2 linked regions of the Stegostoma tigrinum genome follow. The protein of the gene in region 2 interacts with the protein of the main gene of each other region in a biochemical or structural test. Links are inferred from orthologs where the notes say so. Each region holds a gene or a part of one and is shown on either strand. Other genes may lie near its edges.

What was found.
Region 1: of the proteins of uba1 (region 2) and ube2h, one has a biochemical effect on the other in vitro, tested with the Homo sapiens proteins (3 studies listed by BioGRID, with this or other methods). The link is inferred for Stegostoma tigrinum from reciprocal best matches to the Homo sapiens genes UBA1 and UBE2H.

The regions. Positions count from the first base shown.
Region 1 is NC_081378.1:16,356,925-16,364,649, forward strand, and holds the start of ube2h (ubiquitin-conjugating enzyme E2 H), read right to left. Parts: upstream 3,099-7,725; 5' UTR 3,007-3,098; coding exon 2,954-3,006; intron 1-2,953. UniProt on the Homo sapiens protein: Accepts ubiquitin from the E1 complex and catalyzes its covalent attachment to other proteins. E2 ubiquitin conjugating enzyme that transfers ubiquitin to MAEA, a core component of the CTLH E3 ubiquitin-protein ligase complex.
Region 2 is NC_081364.1:12,926,034-12,933,709, reverse strand, and holds the start of uba1 (ubiquitin-like modifier-activating enzyme 1), read left to right. Parts: upstream 1-4,670; 5' UTR 4,671-4,787; intron 4,788-7,676. UniProt on the Homo sapiens protein: Catalyzes the first step in ubiquitin conjugation to mark cellular proteins for degradation through the ubiquitin-proteasome system.

The DNA of each region.
Region 1 (7,725 bases), on a different chromosome or scaffold from region 2:
ATCAAATCAAAGGATTGTGCAGCACAATGATAGCTTCTGTATGTTTGGGCCAAAGAGTCCAGATTCAAGTCTCGCTTCAAATTGAGACATTCCTGGAGGATTGGTATAACATGTTCAAACAGTGATGAAAACAAAACTCCAGTCTACATTCAATACCTTCTCCTGTTTTTGTTCTCCCTTTATGCCATCGATGATAGACCTAGCTATCATAATCCATATAATAATTTTGCAGTCATCAAATTTCTCAGTCAGCACTTGCTTGGCACCCTACTTGAAAAATATCTTGACAGCATTTTAATCAGATGGATGTGCCTTCAAAAAAGGTTAATATTATCCCATTCAGATTCCTTCCACTGACTGGAAACAAGTATAGACACCAATAATCAGACATCATGACTGAGGCACAAGGATGATCATAGTGAAATCAATTATGAACTAGTGCATTAAAGGTAATATCAAGGAAGGGCATAAAGGTACAGATTACAGCAAAGACTCTGGGCCCTGACAACATCCTGGCTATAGTACAGCAGACTTATACCGGGTGCAGCTAGTTCTGGAGTTCATCTGCAAAACGGGATTGACAACCATGTGGAAAATTGTTCCCGTATGTCCAGCCTTTTGCAATCAGGTCCTATAGTATACATTAGCAATTCAATTAACACACTTCAATTAGTAAAATCTAGTGTCAGGAACTAATGTTAACAATGGCGACCGTAAAACTATCAATTATCATAAAAACTCATTTGCTTCACTAACATCCTTTACCTAAGCAAGTCTGCCATCCTCTCTCACTGTGGCATACACGGGACCCCAGACGCCCAGCTAACATGCCTGACAATCCACTGATTTCACAGATGGCCAATAAATACTGGACTTACGAGTGATGCCTTTGCCCCATTAAGGAATAAATGAAAGAATCACATATTTAACTCAATTTTGGCATAAGACCTTAGTTGTGATTTTAGCAAATAAGGTAATGGAAATCTCTGCGGTATGCAGTCACCTCTGACCAAACTTGCCATCAGTGCTGGAAAGAGTGAAATGGCAGACTTAGCCACCTTATAAACATGGTTGTAACCATTTCTGAAGCAAGCTGAAGTAACAGGATAGGCCTTTTTTGCTACTAAGACATAAACATAAGGGGGAAAAATCTCTAGCACTCCCCAGCAGCTACTGATAGATTTTATTTCCAGATATCTACCAGTATTCTCTATCACCTGGGCTACAACAGCAAAAAAATCTTAAATCAAACTACCAATGTACATAATGGGATCATGGCAAAATACACGAAAAATGTTTCCACTGACATAATAAATGGGGCCAACTAATCCTTAAATTATAAATAACTAGGATACAAGATTACTGTGCTTTCTTGTATGAAAATACTTTAATCAGAAAAGTGAACACTAGGAACACAACAGTTCAAAAAGTGTAAAAGATGATAAACAAAATCTCCAGTTAATGACCTTCTAAAATACAAATAGTCTGCAATAACTTTTTCTTAAAGAAAGCTAATTCAAATGATTACATCATTCCCTTGTTCTGAATAAAGTTCTGACAAATTTCTGGTACAGTTAGAAGCGACGGGAAGCTGAACTGCTGTTGATTAGTAATCGGCCGTTTACTGTGTTTGCCCCCACCCAACTAAAGCGCCGACGTCTAAGTAGCCTCTCTTTTGTAGTGTCAGCTGGTGAACGTGTTTGTGTTTTAAGTAAGCTCCTCCTCCAACTCAATTCCGGCTAGTAACAGTACAGCCAATCCGCTCTTTGCAACTAGCATTAGGACCAACAGTTGCTGTCCAACGAGTTCCAGCAGGTAGCACCTTCAAAAAACACAACCCAAAATGGGGTTGGGGGGGGGTGGGGAGATATTAAATATTAACGTATGTGACACAGCCATTTATATAAAAATTTCAATTCCACCATAATAAATTTTAAGCAACCAAAAAATGCCTTTACGAGCCCGAGGAAACCTTAAAAAAAGCAAAATATTCACCAGTCCAAAAATAAAAACAAGACCTCTCAACAACACCGTAAAAATTCAAGACAAAAGTAATACTTCTATCAGCTAATATGGCAAAAACTGTAAGGATGCATTAAAAACGTCACTCAATTTACAAGACAGTCAACATCCGCATTCAAATTCCTTCAGTTATTTTTCCTCTTCGCAACCACCATTCCCTCCCGTCTATCTCTCCTTCCTTTCTCTTCCCCACCACCGCCATAAACCTAGACAGATCAACAGGCCCAAAAGTACCCTGGAAATACACGTCAGACAAATCGCAACCTCCTTTGTAGTTGAAAACACAGAAACAAGGTTTGATGCGATGTGACGCTGCCTATTAATCATAAATCATCTGCTGAAACGTGAAATCTGGCTTTCAAACGTAGGACATACGGCACAAAAAAAAGGCTAGCTTGTTTTTTTCACAAAGACAAGGCCTCATAAGTATCAAGTAAAGAACTATAAACTCGCCATAAATTTAGAATAAAAGCACTACAAATTCAAAATTTCGTAACATACAAAAAAACCAACATAACGTTTTCCCTGAAAATATATTCAACAGATAGAGGAACAAAACTTCAACCAAAAAAAGGAAGCTTTGACATCCGTCACCATGTGAATGTTGTCATTTTTCTTTGATGGAAACCACTGTATATCTCAAAGACCTAACAACCCCTAAAAAAACCCCAATCATAACCATCGCCCGTGTACACACTTAGGGGCATGCTTTACGGATAAAAAAATACCGACTAATGGGCTAAGCTTGTGACATTATATAAAATGTGTACTTTTTTAAAAATATCATCCTTCAACGCAAACAAACGGCGTACTTGATACAAATAACAGGCGAGACAAAGAGTGGGGGGGGGGAAGATGTGGAACATAGGGAGGAAAAAGCGTTAACTGCTGAAGCCCCTCCGACTGGGAGACTCGCTGCTCTGAAGGATACAGTTTGACCACATCGGTGTCCATTCGCCTCTTCCCAGGACTCGGGGAGGACATGTTGGTGCTGCTGAGGAGGTGGCGGCTTTAATTCCTCTTCTCGGGCCTGTCTTCCTCCGAACCACCACCACCACCACCTCCTCCTCCTCCACCCCACTCTTCCCCCTGCTCCCCCCCCCCCAAACCCCTCCGCCGCGTACACACAGAAAAATAACAAAATTCTTTTCAGGTGCAAACGGACAGACGGAACCCCCGGCCCGGGGGGGGTATGGGGGGGGAGAAAAAAGGGGGTAGCACACAAAAAGAATGATAGATATCGAGGTGTATACTCGGACGGCAACGAAAACAAGACGAGGGAAGGGGGGGACAAACTGTGCGTGTGTTTGTGGGTCTGAGGAGATTCGTTCCCCCCCTCTCTTCACTCGGGTGACGCCACTTTGTCCTCTTCAGGCTCTGAGGTGAGTCTCCGCCGGTCCCTGGGGCTCACTTTAATGATCGCTTGTTTAATTCAGCCAGTTCTTTTTCCCACCCCCCTTGCCTCGCAGTTTTCCCTCTCCCTCGACCTCCTCCTTCTCGTTCCTCCGCCTCTCCTTTCTACCTTCTCTCTCTCTCTCTGCTCCTGAACCTTCTCTTCAACCCTCGTCCGTGACGTTGACGTTGTTGTTTGTCGCCGACGCCAGACGCGCCCCCCACCCCCCGCGATACTCCGCGGCCTTCTGGGAATTGTAGTCTTTACCCGCGACAGTTGGAAGTTAAACATTTCAGTGACAACCTTCCTCGAAGCTTTTTTTGATATATACCTGGGTTAGTTCATCATTTAATTGTCTTGCCATTGTGCGTGATGAAATTTAACGAACTTTATGAAAAACCGACAAAAAATCCGGTCATAATGGAAATTTGAGGATAGTGCGCATGCGTTTGCGCCGTCCGGCATGACGGGAGCTGTAGTTCTCCTGAAGCAGCAAGAAATACTTCCGAAGCAACGTAGGGCTCAGAGTCATTAAAGGACGTGTTGATAAAATGTAACTTAGAACCAGGGTATTCTCAGTTAACGGAGCATTGTTTTTATTAAATCCTCGAAAACATTTAACAATGAAAATGTTGAAGGAAAACAAAACATCTGCTTATACATGGAGGGTAGTAGGAACTGTTGATGCTGGAGAATCTGAGATAACAAAGTGCAGAGCTGGATGAACACAGCAGGCCAAGCAGCATCAGAGGAGCAGGAAAGCTGACGTTTCGGGCCTGGACCCTTCTTAAATTCTGAAAGAAGGGTCCAGGCCCGAAACGTCAGCTTTCCTGCTCTACACCTTGTTATCATGTTTATACACAGGCTTTTTCAGCACATATCAAAGTGCTTTACAACCAATGAAGTGCAGTAACTGCTATAATGTGGGACCATAGAAGCCAGTTTGCACCTAACAATGTCTGAGACATCAATGGCCCCCGTGATGAAAGGCTAACTCAGTTTTAACTCTGAAAAGTTAACTCAGTCTCTCTCAAAAGACGTAACTTGAGTTTTTAACAGCTTTTCAGTACTTGTTTCGGATTTTCAGTAGCTGCATGATTTTGCTGTAGTAATCTGTTTTCATGATGCTTGATTAAATTACGTATTATTAGACAGGAGACTAGGATAATGTCTAAGTGGACAAATGATGGTAGGTATAATGCAGTAAATGTGAGGCAAAAATGTGGGGAAACTCAGCATGCCAGCAGCATCTCTGGAGAGAAAACAGGGTTGACATTTGGTGACCCTTAATCAGAACTGAAAGTTGTTAGGGAAAGGTGATTTTTCTGCTAATTACAGGGCATGGGCGTTGGAAAAAGTGAGCAGATAAGTAGAGATGGATCCAACAGAGAAAGAGAAAAAAAATTGGATGGACAAAGGGATCGTAGGTAGTAAGCCAGGGAAGAAGAAAAGCTGATAATGGAGGCAATGCATAGTTGAAAATAGGCTGTCTGTGCTGAAACCAGCCCCTGTCATGACAGGGCTTAGTACACAAAGGTGGGTAAGGACATAGGAGAGGGCGTTCAGGCTCTAGAATTGTTGAACTCAAAATTGAGTCCTGAAGGCTGCAGGGATCCCAAGCAGAAGATGAAAAGTTGTTTTTCCAGCTTGTGCTGAGTCTCGCTGAAGCAGTGCAGCTAGCTCTAGACAGAAATGTCAGCCAAGGAACATAGTCATGCGTTGAAATGGCAGGTGACAGGAAGCTTGAAGTCATTTTTATAGACGTTCCACAAAGCCATCACCCAGTATACATTTCGCCTCCCCAGTGTAGTGGAAACAACATTGTGAGCAGCAAATACAGTGGACTAGTTTGAGTGAATAGCTGATGAATCACTGTCTCATCTAGAAGGTATCTCTGGAGAGTTGGTTAGTGAGAAGGGAGGAAGTAAGCAGGAAAGCATTGCACCTGTTGCAGTTGCATGGGACAGTGCCATGAGGATGTAGGAAGGTGTCAGGAATGGAGAATTAGTGGATTAAGGTGTCCTGGGAGAATGGTCCCTGCCAAATGTTGACAAGGTAGGGGAGGGGAATATGTGTCTGGTGGTGGCATCCCGTTGGTAGGGCCGTGTCAACTAAGATAGTGGTAGAGGAAAAAGGTGGACATGTTTCTCCCTGATGGAAGCTGGCATCATCGGAACAGATGTGACAGAGATGGAGAAACTGGGAAAAAGGAACAGTGTCCTTACAGGAAGCAGGGTGAGGGGATATATAGAGGTGGATGAATACAGCAGGCCAAGGAGCATCTTAGGAGCAGGAAAGCTGTCGTTTCGGGCCTAGTGAAGGACCCTTCACTAGGCCCGAAAAGTCAGCTTTCCTGCTCCTAAGATGCTGCTTGGCCTGCTGTGTTCATCCGGCTCTACACCTTGTTATCTCGGGATCTCCAGCATTGCAGTTCCTATTATCTCTGAGAGGATATATAGTCCAGTTAATTATGGGAGTCGGTGAAGGTGAGAGCAGGGTGAAAAGTTAAAGTGAAATAGGTAAACCTTTCCAATTCCAATTGAGAGAGGAAAGAAGTTCTGATAACATCATTGAAGTATGGAGAAAGAGTTAAGGGGTAGGACTGGAGCAAGGAATGTTCCACATACCACACAAAGAGACAGGCATAACAGAAGACCAAGCAGGTATCCATGACCATTCCTTTGAGCTTAAGTAAGCGAGAGGAGTTAAAGGAGAAGTTGTTCAAAGTAAGCCAGGCAGTGGAGGGTGGTGGTAGATGGGGACAGACCAGGCCTTCTTTCCAGGTAAAAGTAAGAAAGCCCTAAGACCATCCTGATGGGGATGGATGTGTAAAGAGATTGTGCATCCTTGGTATGGGGGAGATGGCTGGTGCCTGCAAACTGGAAATTCTGCAACTGACAAATATCAGAAGAGTGCAATGTTAAGCTGTCAACTTTGGCAGGAACAATAGAAACAGATTATTTCAACAAATAAAGACTACAGAATGCTTTGGTCCCATTCCCATTCTCATTCAGATGTAACCTGTTCAACTTATACAGGCAACACCTCCCCAGAAATGATCCCAATGCCTAACTATTCTAAAACCCTCTTTCCTGCACCAAGTCTCCAGTCACACATTCATCTGCTATAGGTAATAGTAGGGAAATACTATGGGAATAAGTAATCCAGACCTAGCTTTACAGCAAGAAAATGTTTATGTAAATAGTCATCTCATTAATTTCAAGGCAGACGTTGGGGAAAATGCCACTATATTATCAGATAGTGAACCATGATTGAACAACAATATCAATAACTGACAAAAGTCCAGGATATGGTCTGGAGATACAGCATCTAAAATGATCAGTTTACAATTAGCAACTGTCTAACATAAGGGATACATAATTACTTGGAATACTGCGTCCAGTTCTGGGCGCCCTATTATAGGAAAGATGTGGATGCTTTGGAGAGGGTTCAGAGGAGGTTTACCAGGATGCTGCCTGGACTGGAGGGCTTATCTTATGAAGAGAGGTTGACTGAGCTTGGTCTCTTTTCATTGGAGAAAAGGAGGAGGAGAGGGGACCTAATTGGGGTATACAAGATAATGAGAGGCATAGATAGAGTTGATAGCCAGAGACTATTTCCCAGGGCAGAAATGGCTAGCACGAGGGGTCATAGTTTTAAGCTGGTTGGTGGAAAGTATAGAGGGGATGTCAGAGGCAGGTTCTTTACGCAGAGAGTTGTGAGAGCATGGAATGCGTTGCCAGCAGCAGTTGTGGAAGCAAGGTCATTGGGGTCATTTAAGAGACTGCTGGACATGTATATGGTCACAGAAATTTGAGGGTGCATACATGAGGATCAATGGTCGGCACAACATTGTGGGCTGAAGGGCCTGTTCTGTGCTGTACTGTTCTATGTTCTATGTTCTATAATGTGGAACGCATCATGGCTCAACAGTTAGTACAGCTGACTCACAGCACTGGGGACCCAGGTTTGATTCCAGACTCGGGTGACTCTCTGTGTGGAGTTCGGCCTGTATCCACTTGGTGCTCTCGTTTCCTCCCACAGTCCAAAGATGTGCAGTGTAGGTGGATTGGCCATAATAGATTGTCCGTAGTGTCCAGGGATGTGCAGGTTAAGTGGAGTAGCCATGGTAGATATGGACTTACAGGAATAAGGTAGGGTGCTTGGCCTGTGCAAGATGCTGTTCAGATGATCGGTGCAGACTCAGTGGGCCGAATAGCCTGTTTCTACACTGTAGGGATTCTATGATTCTAAAATAGGAGAAAACGTACACATACTTCAAAATCTAGAATTCTCATTCTTAAATATGA
Region 2 (7,676 bases):
ATCCCAAAACTAGTCCCACCTGCCTGTGCTTAGCCCAAACATTTCTTATTCATGTCCTTAACCACTCATCTTTTATACATTGTAACTTTACCCCATCCACTGCATCCTCTGGAAGGTCATTCCACACACAAACCATTCTCTCTGTAAAACCAAATTGCCCCTTGTCTCTTAAAATCCCTGGCCCTAGGGAAAAGACACTTGTCATTCACCTTATCCACATCCCTCATGATTTTATAAACTTCTAATTAAAAGGTTACCCCTCAACCGCTTACACTTCAGTGAAAAAAATCCCAGCATATCCAGCCTGTCTCCATAACTCAAACCCTCCCTCCCCAGCAACATCCGGGTAAATCTCTTCTGAACTCTCTCCAGCTTAACAATATCCTTCCTATAACAGGGCAACTGGAACTGGTCACAGTATTCCAGAAGAGGTCTCAACAATGTCCTGTACAACCTCAACATAATGTGCCAACTCCTACTCTCAAAGGTCTAAGCAATGAAGACAAGTGTGCCAAACTCCTTCTTAACAACGCTGTCTATATGGGATGCAAACTTCAAAGAACCCTGAGGTCTCTCTGTTCTACAACGCTACCCAAGGTCCCACTTTTAATTGTATAATTTTTGCTTTTGTTTTATTTACCAAAATGCAATACCTCACATTTAACCAAATTAAACTCCATCTGCCACTCTTCAGCCCATTGGCTAATTGATCATGGCTTCTTTGTTATCTTCCATAATCTTCTTCACTGTTCTGCTGCACCATCAATCTTGGTGCCATCTATGTATAGGGATATCGGGATATTAACCCTTGAGCGGAGCTGCTGTTGTGGGAAGGGAGTCATTGAGAGAAGACACCGAGTCATCGACAGGGAGAGAGAGAGAGATCAGTGGCAGTCAATCTGCACATCTCTGCTGTGTGGACATTGGCAGGGCGCACGCGGCAGAAAGTTGAGTGTGAAATGTCAGGAAACTGCATTTCAAGGATAATAGCAGCTGGGCTCGACTTTTTTCTATCAGTTATTTTAAAATAAACACAGGGTGAAAGCATTCCCGTTTGACCCAAACCCTCTGCTATATGCTTCAAATAAGCTTTCCACACCAGCAAATGTGAATTCATTCGGAGTCTAAAATTTCAATTTCACTTTGTGCTCCTGAGATGCTGCTTGGCCTGCTGTGTTCATCCAGCCTCACATTTTATTATCTTGGAATCTCCAGCATCTGCAGTTCCCATTATCTCTTCACTTTCACTTTCTGTTTCCTCTCAGTCTGGGAGTTTTCAAATAAATTTGGACCTTAGTCTCTGACAATAAGCTCCGCCCCTTAAAGTGGCAATGACAACAACACTAACGAGAAAGGCAGATTCTGGAAGTCTGAAGCAAAAGACAGAAATTGCTGGAGAAACTCAGCAGGTCGGGCATTCTGAGATAACAAAGTGTAGAGCTGGATGAACACAGCAGGCCAAGCAGCATGAGAGGAGCAGGAAGGCTGACGTTTCTGGCGTAGACCCTTCATCAGATATGGGGGAGGGGAAGGGGATTCTGAAGTAAGTAGGGAGAGAGGGGGAGGCGGATAGAAAATGGATAAAGGAGAAGATAGGTGGAGAGGAGACAGACAGGTCAAAGAGGCAGTGATGGAGCCAGTAAAGGTGAGTGTAGGTGGGGAGGTAGGGAGGAGATAGGTCAGTCCAGGGAGGACAGACAGGTCAAGGGGGCGGGATGAGGTTAGTAGGTAGAAAATGGGGGTGGGGCTTGAGGTGGGAGGAGGGGATAGGTGAGAGGAAGGACAAGTTAGGGAGGCGGGGATGAGTTGGGCTGGTTTTGGGATGCGGTGGGGGGAGGGGGGATTTTGAAGCTTGTGAAGTCCACATTGATACCATTGGGCTGCAGGGTTCCCAGTGGGATATGAGTTGCCGTTCCTGCAACCTTCGAGTAGCAACGTTGTGGCACTGCAGGAGGCCCATGATGGACATGTCATCTGCGGAATGGGAGGGGGAGTTGAAATGGTTCGCAACTGGGAGGTGCAGTTATTTAGTGTGAACCGAGTGGAGGTGTTCTGCATAGCCTCTGTGCAGAGAAAGCAGAGTTAACATTCGGAATCCAGTGTCACTTCTTCAGAAAACAACTTGTGTTGCAAATCATTGAATGCCCTGTCTCTTTTATGTACAGTGCCATGATGTGGAGGTGCCGGTGATGGACTGGGGTGGACAAGGTCAGAAATAACACGCCAAGTTGGATTATAACCTGATATCGTGTTTCTTACACTGATCTAGAACATGAATAAAACTGCAATAGCTGTTACTATGTAAACAGCGGCAGCTCAACATGCTGCACAGTTCAAAAATACTAGTTAAAATGTCTGTGCTGCAAACAGGCCAGCATTTTTAATTGTTCAGATGCATTAATATACACTTCCAGAGCAGGGGCGACTCAAGCCCAGGCCTTTTGGCTCAGAGGTAGAGACACTACCACGGCACAACAAGAAGATCTTGTGGACATAAGAGAAAGAAGTGAATTTAATATAAAATATCAACTCAGCTCATTGAATGGTTGGGGCCGTTGAAAGGACTATGTAGCCCATTCCTGCTGTAATTTCTTACATTCTTAACCTCATAAGTCAGAGTTTCTTTCAAATCTCTAGCTTACTGGTTATTAAAGTGAATTTTATTTTTCATTCTTAGTCTGGGTATACTGCTGGCTAAAACAGCATTTATTGGTTGTCCCTAATTATCCAGAGGGCAGTTAAGAGTCAACCACATCGCTGTGGGTTTGGAGTCACATGTGGGCCAGACCAGGTGAGGATGGCTGTTTCCAACCCTAAAGGACATTCGTGAACCAGAAGGTGGGGTTTTCCAACAATCAATAATGGTCATCATTAGACTTCAGCTTCGCAAGCTTTATTGCTTTCAAATGCCCCCATCTGCTATGGTTGGATTTGAACACAGTAGTTTCTCACATTTCACAAACATTCTTACATATGTTATTGCCATGTCTGGCAAATGTGAAAGCCATTTTCCACCTTCCAAGGCTGACAAGTGGAAATGATATAAACAAGCAGGTACCTGGATGATGTTACTTGAACACAGGATAATTGTCAGATCACGATGAGGACTCCTCGATTTCATGAACCATGATTTATAGACATGGCCTCAGTTTAAGTGTGTCACCTCAAGGACAATAATGCAACAATTCATGAATTGGAATATGAGCCTAGCTTGTTCCCTTCAGTGGATTTTGGTTACCCCTCCTCTTCTAAATCATGACATCTTCCAATCTCAGGGAAATAAGAACATGGGGACAGGCCATTCAGTTTTGTCAGTCTGCATCCATATTTATCCCCAGAAAGTTGCACGGTGGCTCAGTGGTTAGCACTGCTCCCTCACAGTGCCAGGGACCTGGGTTTGATTCCACCCTCAGGTGACTGTCTGTGTGGAGTTTTACATGTTCTCCCCGTGTCTGTGTGGGTTTCCTCTGGGTGCTCCTGTTTCCTCCCACAGTCCAAGGATGTGCAGGCTAGGTGGATTGGCCAGGCTAAATTGCCCGTAATGTTCAGGGATGTGTAGGTTAAGTGGATTATAGGGGGATAGGTCTGGGTGGGATTCTCTGAAGGTCAGTGTAGGCTTGTTGGGCTGAAGGGCTTACTTCCACACTGTAGGGATTCTATGATTCAAAATTGTCTCTTATTTATTTTGTAGTCTGGACCTCAGCCACCTTGTTCCTCACCCTTCATTCACCTATTCAATGTCACCTGGAATTTTAGCATGTGGCCTGATTTTAACCTGACTGCTAACCAGCCATACTGAATTGAATACAACACCACCCCCAAAAAAACTCACATTATGTCCCATTGCCTCCGATTCAAACAGATGAAAGCTCAGGCTTTCATTTCTACCTGAATCACTGTCCCTGAAGTAAAATCTACAATTTCCCAATAACGTGTGTAAAGAAGTCTCACCTGCCGATTGTTTTACAGAGGGCTTTTCATTTTGTATATAAAGGCATAGAGATGTACCGCACAGAAACAGGCCTTTTGGTCCAACTCAACCATGCTGACCAGTTAACATAAATTAACCTAGTCCCATTTGCCAGCAAATGGCCCATGTCCTTTTAAACCTTTTGTGATGAAGGGTCTAGGCCCAAAACATCAGCCTTCCTGCTCCTAAGATACTGCTTGACCTGCTGTGTTCATCCAGCTCTACACCTTGCTATCTCCGATTCTCCAGCATCTGCAGTTCCTACTATCGTTCCCCTTTTAAAACTTTCCAAAAGCCTTTTAAATGCTGTAACTGTACTAGCCTCCATCACTTCCTCTGGCAGCTCATTTCATACATGGACCACTCTCTGCTTGGAAAAGTTAGCCCTTCGGTCCCTTTTAAACCGTTCCCCTCTCACCTTAAACCTATGTCCTCAGGTTTTGGACTGCCCTGCCCTGTGAAAAAGACCTTGGCTTTTCGCCCCATCCATGCCCCTCATGACTTTATAAGCCTCTAATGCATGGACCCCTTCAGTCTAGACCCCTCATCAATTGTTGGGAACAGTCTGTTTCTAACCGGTCGGTTCCGGGTCCTGCCGTTATACGCCCCAGCCTCGTCCGGTCTGAACGAGGACGCTGTCAGGAGTTGAAATGTGTTGCCCTTTTAAAGAGATCAGAATTTGGCAGGAAGCTTTTTGTTTCCTTTCTGTTGCTCGCTCTCCCAGATCAAGCGCAGGCAGTGTCATTCAGTTGATCGGAGCAATTTGTATCGCTGCCGGACAGAAGCACCTTCCTCAGGGACAAGAGAGTAAACTAAGGTGCGTTAGCGTTCGCGATATGTTGGTATAGCCATCAAAATCCGTGTTATAGTAAAATGCTGTAGAACAGTGCCCCAGGCAATTACTGAGGATGGTAAGCTCAGGTTATCATTGCTCCACTGAAACTGACTTTACAATCTACCAGCTGACCAAAGATATATTTTTGAGTTTTCAAATTTGGAACCAGAATTTTGCCTTTACGAATGAAAGCTTCTTCCTATTGCACTGAGGCGAAAGGCAATCTGTTGTTGTAGGAGTGAGTGACTTTATTTTACAAAGAGAAACTGCCTGTTGAAATTTGGTTGTTGAGCTTCCGTGGATTTATTGGAAATGAGATAACTGGACCGTCTGCAAATTTCTTCAGTTTAACAAATGAATGAAATTGACAAATTGTTTTGCTTCCCCCCACTCCCTTTTCCCATTTTGATTGATCATTCTGACAACGTGGACGGGAAGTTACACTTGAATTTGTTGACTTTGTGATGTATGCCCGCAGAATTGTTGCAATACCGAAAGAGACCATTCGACCCATCGTGTCAAAGAAGGAAAGCGAAATAAAGTGTAAAGGGGATTTTTTTTGTTAATTCCCCGTGAGTTTTAATGAAGTTGCTGCCAACTCGCATCTGAACCCTGTATGTTCCTCTGTTAGACCTTCAAATATTAATTGTGTTGAGGTGTTGTATGTAGTGCCAGAAATACAGATTTGCTATCCGACCGCCACCAATGCTCTTCACAATATGATTGTCAACTCTGATTGGATGCATTTGAGTCGAAGATTGATTGCTGATCAAAGCAAGGCCATTCAGCCCCTAGCATCCCTGATAGCTGTCTGTCGAAGCTACGCAGGGGGTCGCTTTCCTTATTGCGCTGAAAATACCTTCTCAGCATTATTATTCAATTCCCTCTTGAAAACTATGGTCGAATTCTCCTTTATACCCTCATACAGTATGTTCCTGATCCTTGCAACATTTTAAAAATTTTAAATTTCCCTTATTTCGGCAAAGCAGCTGGCTGGGACACCTTAGAAGATTTCCATTCATCTAGCACTCTCCCCCATCTCAGGACACCCAAAAGCTCATGTTACCTTTTATGATGCCAGACCACACCACCAAATTTATATTATGATCTGTGAGGGACTAGTGACTTTTTTAAAGTTGACATAGTTTCACATCCCAGGTATTTCCCAGAGAATAATGTCATAAGATTCCATGGTTTTAAACAGATAATGATAATCTTTACTATACAATGCAATGTACATATACGCACATATAAATTATATTCTAACATCCAGAATTAACGGGAGCCAAATGTGGGTAACAAATTGTGATTGATTGCCCTACAGAGCATGTCAAATTTCAGAAGCAATAAAGACATATCCCATGGATTTCTCAGCTATCCCTCCCTCCAAAAGCTTAATGACACAATGGATCATCAAATTTAATTTTAAAAATATCACAAGTGATTTCAATTCTTCACTTTTCACAATCTGGTCTGGAAAGTCCCTTAAGACCCGTTATGTCACAGACACTTCTGTTGACTGCTATGTTTTTATATTCACCTTCCTTTGAAGGGTCTGTGCTTCTCTAGATTGTGCAAACTGCACTCCGGCACAGCATTTACTTGCAGGCATAGATCCAGCTTTTCACCACCAACTGACTTTATCAAGCTAGTACTACACTTGTGTATTATCATGAGCTCTAGTCTTGTTTGATTGCGTCATGCTAATGCTGCTTTCAGGTTTTCCAATACCAACTCTCAATGGAACTTAATCATTAATATCTTGCAGACTTCTCTAAAACCCCACATTCTCTAAGCCTTCCTTAAGTCCCAACTCAACAGATCTATCCAATGCTCTTAAAACTTCTCATTGATCGTCCTACACAGAACCAGTATAGTTCAGTTGCCTTCCAGCATTTGACTGGGGTGCTGATGGGAGGATAGAATGCACAAATCACCAGAGCCAGAATTAGAGTATGATGCATTTGCTAATCCTCATGCACTTTTCTCTTTATACAACAACTGAACATGGACTGGAGGGTTGCCATCCTAAACACCTCCATTCAGTCTGAAAGCATGACCCTCGCTTCCAATACCCTGTCATTTTAGTTCTCAGCTCTCCCTCCAACTTTGGCCACTCTTTCCCTGGCCTCCTGAACTGTTCCAATGAAGCTCAACAGAAGCTCCAGAGGCCTCATATTCTAGCTTGGGTGTTTTACAGCCTTATGAACAGGGGGTGGAGTAAAATAATGTCCGATCACGATCACTGTCCCCATTGCTTTGGACAGCAAGGTCGTAGCTCTGATTCTGATTTAACTTCCTCATATTCCTTCTGGCTTGAGTGTCACCATCTTATTTTGCCTCATACCTTTATCCCTTTTGTTACATCCTTCTAGCATCCCATCACACCCCTTTCCTCTTGTGCTTTCCTCACTACCATCTTCCACAGTTTCTGTACTTACTTAAAACCTGTTATTTCTCAAAACTTCCCAGGTCTGATTTAAAAAGTCATGGCCTGAAACATTAGCTGTGTTTCTCTCTGTACAAAACCTCGAGGGGACTTGCTGTGTACTTTCACTTTTAATTGTAGATTTTAAGCATTTGCAAGATTTTGCTTTCAGTTTAAAGGTAAGGTAACCTGGGATATGTAAAACTTATATTATTCATTCACAGGATGAGGGCATCGCTGGCTAGGCAGCATTTATTGCCCATCCCTAATAGCCCAGAGGGCAGTTATGAGTCAACCACATTGCTGTGGGTCTGGAGTCACATGTACGCCAGACTAGGTAAAGATGGAAGTTTCCTTCCCTGAAGGAGATTAGTGAGCTAGATGGGATTTTCTCCAACCATTAGCAATGGATTTAAGGTCATCATTAGACCTTTAATTCCAGA